3 linked regions of the Sus scrofa genome follow. The protein of the gene in region 2 interacts with the protein of the main gene of each other region in a pairwise test. Links are inferred from orthologs where the notes say so. Each region holds a gene or a part of one and is shown on either strand. Other genes may lie near its edges. The genes, in order: MAFG, BACH2 and BATF3.

Region 1 (3,744 bases), on a different chromosome or scaffold from region 2:
CTCGACAGATTTCCCGGCGCAGAAGCCCTGAACTCAGCACAAGTGCAGCCAATCGCCTCCTAATCAAAGGTGTGCGCGCTCGGCTGGGGGAGGGGGTCTCGGCGAGGCCTGCCTTCCGGCCTCCTGGCCTGGTCTCCGCTACCTGGGGCCTCACAGTTCCAGGACGAGACACCCTGTGGGCCTGGGTTGGGACCGAGGTCTCAGGGCACCTCTAGAAGCCGGAGGAAGGGGATCCCCGAGGCCGTTTCAAGGAGACGCTGCCTCCCTGCAGCCCTCCTCCTGCCTCTGCTCCCCCAGAGGCTGAGCCCACTTCGGGGAGGAGGCAGGGGTGGTCCCCAGAGTGCATACCCACCAAGGTACCCAGGCCTAGCCACTCAAGCTGAGAGCCGGCCAGGAAGGAGAGAGGGCCCCCTCCCCCTCCCCTGGGCTCAAACTCCAGGGCATGGACACTGGGCAGGAGGCCAGCTCGCTCCTGCTTCTCCTGTCCTACAAACCGCAGTGGCCAAACCTCCCCGGCAGGCGTGGCCCCGGTCATCCTGGCACCCCCCCCAGCCCGCTACACTCACCCTGCCCTTCGGACCCATTTCCCCAGAAGCCCTCTGAAAAGTGTCTCAAACTTCATTCCCACCAAACGCAAGTAGCTGAGAAGATTTAAAGAAATACCACTCTAGGAATCTGCATTTTCATAAAACTCCAGCCAAAAGATCAGCTGGTGGGAGTTCCCTGGTGGTCTGGTGCTTAGCACTCGGCACTTTTACTGCTGCGGCCTGGGTTCCATCCCTTTTCTGGGAATTGAGATCCCACTTCAAGCCACTGCATGCTGTGGCCAGGAAAAAAAAAAAAAAAAAAAAGATCAGCTGGCATCTGTATGCCCAGGGCTGGGGTGAAGGGGAGCGGAAGTAATGCCTGAGGACAAAGCACAAGGTCAGCCTTACCTAGCCTTGAACCCCTGGGCAAAAGGATCAGCTCTGGTCTAGAGGAAAGACCCCCACTCCCACCCCCGCCCCTGGAGACCAGGAACCACCCATTCACTTAGGAAGGTGGCTCAGGCCACACGACCCTCAGGCTGGAGTTCCCTCCCCAGGAGTCCCCACCACCACCCCATCAGGACCACCTTCTTTGTTAAGCTGCACAACCCTGAGCCCAACCAGAACAATCCGGGGTGACTGAGATTCTTCAGCCCATGCCGTCCACCCCAGTCCAGTGCCCTGAAGGTGGGTGCCCTCCAAGCTACCGCCACCCACAGCCTCGAGCCAGACCCCACGGCGGGCTGTGAAGAGAGGCAGGGCCTGCTCACCAGACACCAACTCCCCTGAAGTCTAAGTCCTGCTGCTTCCTCTCATTGGCAATTTCCTGGTAGAGCTGCACCTACATGCCCCCTGCCCTGTCCACTGTTACCCAGAAACCGGGTACAGGCACCCCTCTTTCTCCCACTGTCTCCCCATCTTCCCCGCCCAGAGGCTGCCCAGCCTGGCCAACCAGACCAGTCATAAGGAAAGCCGGCTTCCCAGCCCGCAAGCACAGCCCCCCTAAGCTCCTCCCTCTTCTCACTCAGAGAACTATTTCCCAGTTTGGGGAACTGTCCCAGACGCGGGTCAGGGACCAGCAGCCTGAGAAAAGCCTGCCGGGGAGGGGATGGACGGACCAGGGTCTTCACCCTCTACCCCAGAATAATAAGAATAGCGGTCCCTCCATTTACTCACCCCCCAAACCTTCAACACGCACATCAGCCCGAACTTAAGCAGGCACCCCAGCCTGGGGCCTAGCCCCTTCCCACTCCCTGGTTTAGCTCTCACCTCTCGCTTCCAGCCTCTCGAGCCCCTCGCTCAAATCCCCCCAGGCATCAGGACAAGCATCGAGTGACCTCATGCTGATGACTCAGCAAGTCTCCCTCTGGGCTCTGGCACGAGTGTGACAGAGCGAAGTCGGCGCGGGGAGGGTCTTCCTAGCCACCCCCCACGTGCCGCCCCCTTCCCCCCGGCCTCCAAGGACCCCCGCGTCCGAGAGGCGTTAACACAGACACCTGATGAATCAGCAGCTCAGGCTGGGACGGCCAGGCTCTTCCGCGGAGCCCTGGGCTCCCCGATCGACCCCACCCTTTCCTCCCGCCACCCCGGCCGCCCCTCCCTCCAGGACGCCCCGGCCCAGCAAGCCAGCCCGCGCAAGCCCCGCCCCGCCCCTGTGGGCACCCCCGCGCCCACCCGAGCACCCCAGGCGCAAGGGCAGGAAGCCGCTTCTGACTAGTGGGGAAATCGAGGCACGGGCCGCCAGCAGGGCGCGGGGCAGAGCCGAAGCTCGGAGCGTCCGGCCCGCGCCGCCCCGGACGCCCGAAGGAGCCGAGGCCCCGCGGAAGCCCGCCCTCGGCCCGGAGCCCCCAGCTGCCCCGCGCCCTGCCCCGGCCCGGCCGCCGCCGCACTCACCCACCACACTGCGGGCCCGGCGGGCCGAGGCTGGGGCGGGGCGGGGCGGGCACTCCGAGGCCGCGCGGGAGTGGGCCGCGCGGGGGCTCCGGGCCCGGGGTAGGGGCTCGCCGCCTGCGCGGGCCGGTCCGAGCGCGCTTGGAAGGCCGGGCCGGACCAGGCTCGGGGCTCGGGATCCGCCGCCGCCGCCGCCGCCGCCGGCCGCCGCCGCCGCCGCCGCCGCCCGCCGCCGCTCCTCAGACGTCACATGATGTTTGGTCACGTGGGCTCCATTCATGAAGCGGCGACGCGACCGGCTGGGGCTTAAAGGGGAAGGCGCGGCGGCGGCGACGGCGGCGGCGGGCGGCAGAGCGCGCCGGCACTGCGCCTGCGCGCCGGGCGCCGTCGCCCTGGCAACGCGCGCCGCGCCCGATGGGTGAGGTCTCGCGGGACTGGCCCGGGCGCGCGCTCCCTGTCCGGCCACGCCCCCTTTGAGGCGGGGCCTCGTGGTCCTCTGAAGCTCTCCTGAGGCTTGTGCGCAGACGTTGCAAAGGCCACGTGTCCGGTTTTCTGTTGCGGATCCGAGGTCCGTACGCATTATGGAGAAGGTCCTCATGGTGTTTCTGTTACTCCCCGGCAGGCTCTGCATGCCTTGCCTCCGTAATTGCGGAGCGGGCCTCAGCCTTGCCAGGAACAGCTGTCTGGTTCACAGGAGACCCACAGGCTCAGGGAGGCGAAGGGTTTGTCCGAAGCTCAAGGCCGCCTCCAAGGCTTCTGAGTAGTGTGGTCTGTCTTCACCCAGCATCCCGAGACCTCACATGAGGGACCGGGCTCAGGCGGCTCCTAGAACCCGTCTGGCTCAGAGTGGGTGCGGTGAATGTGGGCATCAGTAAGCATCTGTTGAATTCATAGTTGATGTAGGGGGTGCGCCTTTCCTTTCTGTTTCACCAGCGTCTGCCCCGAGCTTAGGTCCCCGTCCATGGACCCATGGACCCTTACAGAAAGTTTCTACACTTTCTGTAAGGACTTCTCACTTCTGTTCAAAATCCCCAGAGAAAGAGGTCTGGAAAGGAAGAAGGGAAACTGAAGGGACCCAATTCTACTTCCAGATTCTGGACGTCTCTTCTCAGGTGTGAGGTCAGGAAGGGTCGCGCCCCCCCCCACCAGACAGGTCAGTGAGATCAGATGAGCTGAAAGAGGGAGGAGCCAGGGACGAGGGCAGGATCCTTATGGGAATTCAGTGCCACTGAAGGAACGACAAAGGCCACCCAGGTGGCCCCTAGAGCCTTGGAGCATCAAGGTGTCAGAAACCCTCCCTGCCAGACTCCAGTAGCTTCCCTCTGAA
Region 2 (3,744 bases):
ATAATATGGAATACTGCCGGTACACAAGGGGGCCAAGTTATAGGTGCTCAGGGAAACGTGGCAGAATTTCTTGGCCTTGGCAGGAGTAAAGTTGCAGGCACCAGCACTGCGCTAACACAACCTTCTTTTATTGCAAATGTTCCTTCAGTCTAAGTCCTAATTACTTTCTGTAAAACCCTAACCACCATCGAGCTTTCTTCTGACAGGGCAGCCACACGATGGCCTTAAAGTGCAGCGGCAGCGCCGGGCAGCCTCTGGAATGGGAGACAGGGGGTGGTTGGAACCCTGTAGGGGCTGAGGCTGCAGCTCAGACGTAGGCTTTTCAGTGAGCTTCGCAACTGCTTGCAACCCCTTTTAAAATCCCAGCGTGGGGACTTAGAGGCTCCCTCGGTGGGGCAGGCTGAAGCCCTTCTGGAAAGGATTCCAACGTCAACATCAACGTTGGGTCAGAAGCTACTCTTGCTCGCCCCACCCCCTCCCAAGAGGGGTACCGGTCAGCTTGGTGGAGCCCGTGGAGCATCTTTTTCTGCCCCTCCTGGGAAACGCTAGACAACCCCGGAATCCCAGGTCTCAAGGTCTGGCTCCGCTTCCTGGGCGTAGTGCCCTGGGCTCTGCCCACCTCCCCACGTGCCACACCAGCTCTCCCCACTGCCCCCACCCCAGCGGCCCCCAGCCCTGGCCTTTCAAGGTTCGGGTGAGTCCCGGGCAAGGCCCGACCGAGACAGGCGGCCAGCCGGGCCCGGAGCAGGGGGCTCTCTCGGTGGTTCTGCCGCACAAAGCGGGGAGAGCTGCGCCGGCGGCGTGAGGCGCGCCCCCTCCCGCGAGCAGGCCGAGCGCGCTCCCGCCCCCTGTCCCCCGCCCCAGCCCTGGGAGCGCCATTCGCGGAGTGGCTTACGCTAGTCGCCGGGCGTACGGCGCCCCAGCGGCCGGGGAGGTGCGCTGCCCGGCTCCCGTAAAGTTATTGTGAATGGGGAGCGGGTGACGTCAGCGCCGAATGTCAACAATGTAGCGATTGAGAGTGTGGGCGTTCCGGGGAGAGCGCGAGCCGCGCCGCGCGGAGCAAACAGCGCCGAGCAGCCGCCGCCTAAGCAGCAGCAGCAGCAGCGGCCGTGCACGCCCGGGCTGCGGTCGCAGCAGCGCTAACGCGAGCGCCCGCCGCCGCCCTCGCCCACCCCGCCTGCCCACTCCCGCTGCCGCCGGGCTCTCGCTTTCTCCCCGGCCTCCCTCGACCCTTCCCCTCCCCCTTCTCGGCATACTCGGGGGGCTGGGAACGAGCTGCCATGTGATGCGCGTCCTCTCCGCGAGCTTTCGGTGACCCCCGATCCGCGGACCGCCGGGAGGGGGCTGCGGGCTAGGAGGACGCGGGGAAGAGGAGGCGGAAAAGGACGCAAAGTTCTCTGTTGAGGTGAGTCCCCGGCCGCGGGTCCCGGGCCCCGGCGGCGGCGGGCGGGCGGGGCGGTGGGGCAAGTTGGCGGGGGGAGCGGGCGCGCGGGGCAGGCGGGGAGACATGGGGAAGCGGCGCGGGAAGGGAACCGCGGCCGCCCGGAGCGCAGCCGCCCGCCGAGCGCCCTGCCCGCTTTTATGGCATTTTCTAGGAACGGGAAGGGGGTGGGAGCCGAGCCGGTGGACGCGCAGAGGCGACTGTGCGCTCTCTCGCCTGGCTGTTTACGGCGGGAGAGGAGGCATTGTATTTTGCTCGCGTCGACGGGTATTTTGGAACAGCAGGGGGAGGAGGAGCAGAGGGTAATAAGTCAGGCGTGGGGAGGGCGGGTTGAAGGGAGGCGCGCGTCCGCGCGAGCCGGAGCAGCTGTCAGACCCACGGCCCTGCTCCCGGCCCCGCGAGGCCCGGGCGCCCCGGCCCCCAGCCCGCGATCGCCGTGCCAGGCCGGGCGGCCTCCTCCCTGTCCGCGGCGTCCGCGCCCCGGGCTGCTCCGCTACGCTTTGCGCTCAGCTGTCAGACGTTGCCGGGTAGCTAGGACCACCACGACTAGCCGGGTATCAAAGCCCAAGTTTAAGGTCCCGGGAAGAGGCAGACTGGGGGCTCTTGGCACAGACCTTGGGTTGCTCGCTGGGTGGAATCCCTACTAGCCAACGACCACGGGTTATTGGAATGCGTCCCAGGGAACTCAGGCCGAGGGGCTCATGCCTTCAGAGAGGGAGATCTTGCACCTCTCTCCTTCCAAGATTCTGCACGAAATCAAAGTGCAACGCACACCCTCTTCTCCCTGCCCACACTTCAGTCTTCAGACCCCAGAAGCTCCACCTAGGAGAGGAGTTTATCCAGGGGACACTTCTCCACGTACCCCCACCCCGCCGGCGTGTCCTCCGGGGGTTCGCAGTTCTCCTTCTCATACCCGGTGGGTCATGGGATGCGGGCGGCGCTCCTGGACTACCCCAGCTGCCCGCGAGAGGGGACTCGAGTGAGCATCTCGGCGACCTCGGTCTGGGCGAGGATTTGCAGGAACTTGACCGTGGGAGGAAGCGCGCAGGGCCGGGTGTCTGTGTGTGAAAGGGGCCGCGCACCCCTGATTTCGGGGGTCGTGGGTGCGCTGGGTATCCCCAGCCCACTCTCACGTGTAGGCGAGTTTGATAACTTGCGGGAAGTTCTGGCGCAGCCGCTGTAGGATGGTTTTGTCTGTGGCCGGAGAAGGAGCGCCTCACAGTATGCCTGTCCGGTCACCGCCGTCGCCGCCACCCATGGCCCCTGGGAAACAAGAGGGACCAGGGCGCCCCACCCCCAACTGAGCTGCACACTCAGCGGGTAGCGAGACGCGGCGTTCCTGGGTTTTCACCTTCGCTGTCTAGTGCTGTAGTCTCTCACTCTCTGTGTAAATTTCATCTGTTGAATGTACTTAACTAAAAAGGGTAATTACTTTAGATTAAAAAAAAAAATCCCTTCCTGCCTAGTGGGAACCTTGGCGGAGATGCTGCCTAATGAGATATTTTGCTTTTGTCTGTTTAGAGTAAAATTAGAGATGTTAACTCTGATAACGGTTTTCTCAGATCATTAAAATGTAACATGTAGGAAAGGCATGTCGAGCTGCGAAGGCTCTGGCTGACATGAAAGAAGCTGTGCGGGGAAAGGCTCCTTGGGTAGAGAGGCTATTTTGGTAAGGCAGCGGCATCTTGCCTAAAATGTGACATTGCCCCACCCTGGTGCTCCCGCAGCTCACAGCTCCAGAGTAAACGGCGTTTTTCATTCTTCCAGGTAATAATAAACGTGAGTCAAAGTGACATCTTGTTAGAATTAAGTCTTTAGTCTGTAGGCGAGATTGCTAAATAACAGTGTTGCATTCACACTGCTCCCGTGAAAGGTCTGTCAGCATTTCCATTATAAATTCAATTTGGGGGGGAGTTGATAATTTCACCACAAAACTTTGGGTGGCTGAAATGGCTTTCCCTTCCAGTGTTCTGCTTTAAGCAATGAATCGACTGCCCACTTCCATCCTATTTGCTGTTCCTAAAACTTGAATATTATCCAGATGGGGGGGGGGGCAGAAATAGAAAACATAATCATGGAATAAAATACTTCTGTTCGAACGTACTTTATTTGTGCCAAGTAATACTTTCATTGTGGATTTTGGAAGGCTTTATGTTTGCCATTTGGTAATCATAAATGTGTTAATTCTTCTGGTACCTGTCAGTTCTGCAGGTGGATTGAAATGTCAGTTCATGTTGTATATGCCAGGATTACATGGAAGAACATTCTCCTCATACATGTGTGTGTGAGAGCTCATAGCTAAA
Region 3 (3,644 bases), on a different chromosome or scaffold from region 2:
GTGCGCTATTCTTGCAGCTCCACAGAGAAAGAGCAGACGTGGACGTTCCTCCCTGCAAGGCCTGGGCTGCAGATCAATCAGCCCCCTTCCTGGAAGGAGCAACTAACGCAGTTATGTTTCTGGATGGCAGAATAAGCTAGGGACCCTCTGAAAGGCCCTCCACCCACTGTTCTCAGAGAGACGAGGCAGAAGCAAATGTGGCAAACCGGCCCTAAATTTCCCAGGTATCTGGTTCATCTGGCTATCAAATCCAAGAAGGACAGAAATGGAGACCCACCTTTTTTCTGACCCTGTATGCAAGCATTTGTTGAAGGTAGGCAGGACAATGCCTCTCAAAGATGTTCACACTTCGGAACCTGCGAATATGTTACCTTACGCGGCAAAGGGGACTTTGCAGATGTGATTTTACGTTAAGGGTCTTAAAATAGGGGGGTACACCTGGACCAGGCAGATGGACCCAAGGTAATCCGAGGGTCTTCATAAGGGAAAGAGTCGGGAATCAGAGGAGACGTGGCCACAGAAACTGTCAGAGTAATGCAGCATGAGAAAGACTCGGCTGGCCGGTGCCCGCTTTGAAAATGGAAGGGCAGGATTCCACTGGGTATTTGTGTACCACATCCTCTTAACCCACTCATCTGTCAACAGACATCTGGCAACATGGAGGCAACCAGAGTCTCAAACTAAGCGAAATAATTCAGAAAGAGAAAGACAAAAACCATATGATATCCCCTACATGTGGAACCTAAACTGTGGCACAGATGAACCTGTCTACAGAACAGAAACAGACTCACAGACATAGAGAACAGACCTGTGGTTGCCAAGGGGGAGGGGGAGAGAGTGGGATGGATGGGCACTTTGGAGTTGGTAGATGCCAACTATTACATTTAGAATGGAGAAGCAATGAGATCCTACTGTACAGCACAGGGCACTATATCTGTCTCTTGGGATAGAACATGACGGAAGATAGTATGAGAAAAAGAACGCGAGTGTATATACATGTAAATATACACACACACACATATTTATATGACTAGGTCATTATGCTGTACAGCAGGAACTGGCACAACACTGTAAATCAACCATACTTTAATACAAAATTTAAAAATGAAAAAATTTAAATTTTCTTTAAAAAAAGGAAAATGGAAGGTAACCACAAGCCAAAGACCATGCAAGCCTCTGAAAGCTAGAAAAGGCAAGAAACAGAGCCTCCAGAAGGAATGCAGCCCTGCTGACAGCCTGGTTTTTGCCCCGTGAGACCCATTTCATATGCCTGACATCCAAAACTATAAGATAATAAATCTGTGTTGTTTCAAGCCATCAAATCTGTCAGCTGTAGGAAATGAACACACTGCCCTTGGGAACGCCTCTGCTTCCCAAGGACAAGGATGAGACCTTACCCTTCCCTTCACGACTCAGTGGCAATGCCTTGCCTGTAGTGGTTCTTAGTAAATATTTGTTGAATGAATCTACTCAACCTGAGTCCACAAAAAACCTCATCCAAGTCATTTAGTCACCTCTACACACACGATCCCGCAGGACTTACAGCTGAGGGTCCTCTAGTGTGTTTTGACCTGAATGCACCTGACTTGGACTGGAAATACCTTTAGAGGAAGGCACGGGTGCTCTGAACACAGGGCCTTGCACAGACTGAGCCTCAAGTCCCCTCTGGGGATTAGTGGTAACACGAAGCTAGAACCAGGATTGCTTCAGGAGTAAGGGGGAGGGGAGAGAAGAGGCAAAGGGCATCCCAAGTCCTCTGTGGAAATTTTACAGACCTAATCCAGGCTGGGACAGACCTTCTCTGACCCTGGCCTGAAGACACTTTCTAGGGTCCAGACTTTCTGGAAAGATCTGCCACCACCCCTTTACCCCCCACCGCCCCATGTATTTCTATCAGCAGGTCACCTCTCCCTGGAGCATGTGCTTTCTAAATCTGTTCTCTGCGTATCATGAAGGGGTTTTCAGAAACTGGCATTCCCCCGCACAACGCCTCAGAGTCTCTTACGCTGTCAATGACCGCACACTGGCCTTGCTGGACAATCCCCAGCGAAAGCGTGGCAGGAGAGAGCTGAACTACAACCCTTAATTACTCACTCCTACCCTGTGCAAAGACAAGAGCACGGAAGTGCCGTGAATCCCTGGGGCAGATCCTGCATCCTGGATGCCTCTGATGTCAGCGCCTGAGATGGAACAGTTCCCATGTCCTGGCTGTGAGATTATGCATGGGGCTGACCAACATGGAAGCGTTTAGGAGAAGTCCCCTCTCCTGATGTGGGTGATGCGCTAGACGGTGAGTGAGCCCCATCAACTGCAATTTGAAGACAGTGAGAAGAGAAAGCCTCCCAGTGCACAGACACACGCTTATGGCCACACTGGGGCCGAGGAGCCCGCAGTGAACCCATTTGAAGGCACCTGGCAGACACTGGAGCTGTGGGGTCAGGGCCAGGACAGGGTCTTGTTGGAATTATCAACACCGGCTTGAGAGCGAGCACGCGAGGAGCTAATGCTGGCAGACCATAGGTTGCATCTTCCAGGATGGTGGGGAAAAAGGCAGAGTCTGAAAGTCTGGCCATCGCCAACATTTAAGAACACAGAGGTAGAAAAGCCGATAAAGAAACTGAGAGAGTGGTTAAGAGGGTTGGGAAGGTAGGAAATGTGGTCTCTTAGAAGTTAAAGACTCTGAAAGAAAATTTTAAGATGAGGGTCAATGAGGGGTCCCAGCAAGTTCAAGGATGAGGAGACTCGAAAGAGGCCCCGAGACCAGGCAGTCCCAGGGCACTAGTGGCCTCAGTGGAGCAGCTTCTGCAGGAAGCGTGTGTGTGTGTGTGTGTGTGTGTGTGTGTGTGTGTGTGTGTGTGTGTACGTGTGCATGTGTGTGTGTGTTTCAGGAGAGCAGAGGACATGAAGACAGCAGGTCTCTTTTCAAGAAGCAGGACCATGAGGGAAGGAAAGAGAAGAAATGAGGCACCAGCTTGAAAGGGAATCAGGATCAAAAGGAGGTTTCTGGGTTTACGATAAAGGGAAACTTGAGTGTGAGACACAACGAGCTGGTGGGGGAGAGATGGAGACACCAGAGAGCGAATCCCAACGCTGCGCTGGAGGGACACAGCGGAATCTGAAGTGCACGTGGCTGACCTGGAGAGGATCGAAGCGTGACCTCAGGGCCACCACCTCGCAAGGGCAGAAGATGACTCCCCGTCGTCGTCGTGGCCCTAACGTGGCTCTGCCCCAACCACATTCTCACCTCGTGGAGTTTGTCAGCCTTCTGGGTTTGCTTCTTCCGACTTCTCTGAGCAGCAACTCGGTTTTTTTCTCTCCTTCGGACCTTCCTGTCATCATCCTCGGGGCTCTGGGGAGAAAGGTTTGGTCAGATCTCTGCCCTTGATGTGCGCCCAGCCTTGCTCACAGGGGGTCACCCTTTGATGGGCAGCCACAGCAGGGCTGGCTGCTGCATCCCTGGGATAAGAGCGGCCCTGGTTGAAAGCACTCACCACGCGCTCGGGCTGTGTTGGCTGTTAACCTCCACCGCCACCCCGAGAAGTGTGTGGTGGGCCCACCATTTAAAAGATGAGGAATAAGAAACTCAGAGAGGTTGAGGAACTTGCTCCAGGTATCACAGCTCGTAGAGGGGTGAATGGGAAGTG

The links.
Region 1: the proteins of BACH2 (region 2) and MAFG interact in binary tests that used the Homo sapiens proteins (3 or more experiments, as listed by UniProt). The link is inferred for Sus scrofa from reciprocal best matches to the Homo sapiens genes BACH2 and MAFG.
Region 3: the proteins of BACH2 (region 2) and BATF3 interact in binary tests that used the Homo sapiens proteins (3 or more experiments, as listed by UniProt). The link is inferred for Sus scrofa from reciprocal best matches to the Homo sapiens genes BACH2 and BATF3.

The regions. Positions count from the first base shown.
Region 1 is NC_010454.4:1,067,825-1,071,568, reverse strand, and holds the start of MAFG (transcription factor MafG), read right to left. Parts: upstream 2,496-3,744; 5' UTR 2,421-2,495; intron 2,077-2,420; exon of another isoform or gene 2,024-2,076; intron 1,974-2,023; exon of another isoform or gene 1-1,973. UniProt on the Homo sapiens protein: Since they lack a putative transactivation domain, the small Mafs behave as transcriptional repressors when they dimerize among themselves.
Region 2 is NC_010443.5:58,278,879-58,282,622, reverse strand, and holds the start of BACH2 (transcription regulator protein BACH2), read left to right. Parts: upstream 1-1,270; 5' UTR 1,271-1,405; intron 1,406-3,744. UniProt on the Homo sapiens protein: Transcriptional regulator that acts as a repressor or activator. Binds to Maf recognition elements (MARE). Plays an important role in coordinating transcription activation and repression by MAFK.
Region 3 is NC_010451.4:130,702,030-130,705,673, reverse strand, and holds part of BATF3 (basic leucine zipper transcriptional factor ATF-like 3), read right to left. Parts: intron 3,350-3,644; coding exon 3,245-3,349; intron 1-3,244. UniProt on the Homo sapiens protein: AP-1 family transcription factor that controls the differentiation of CD8(+) thymic conventional dendritic cells in the immune system.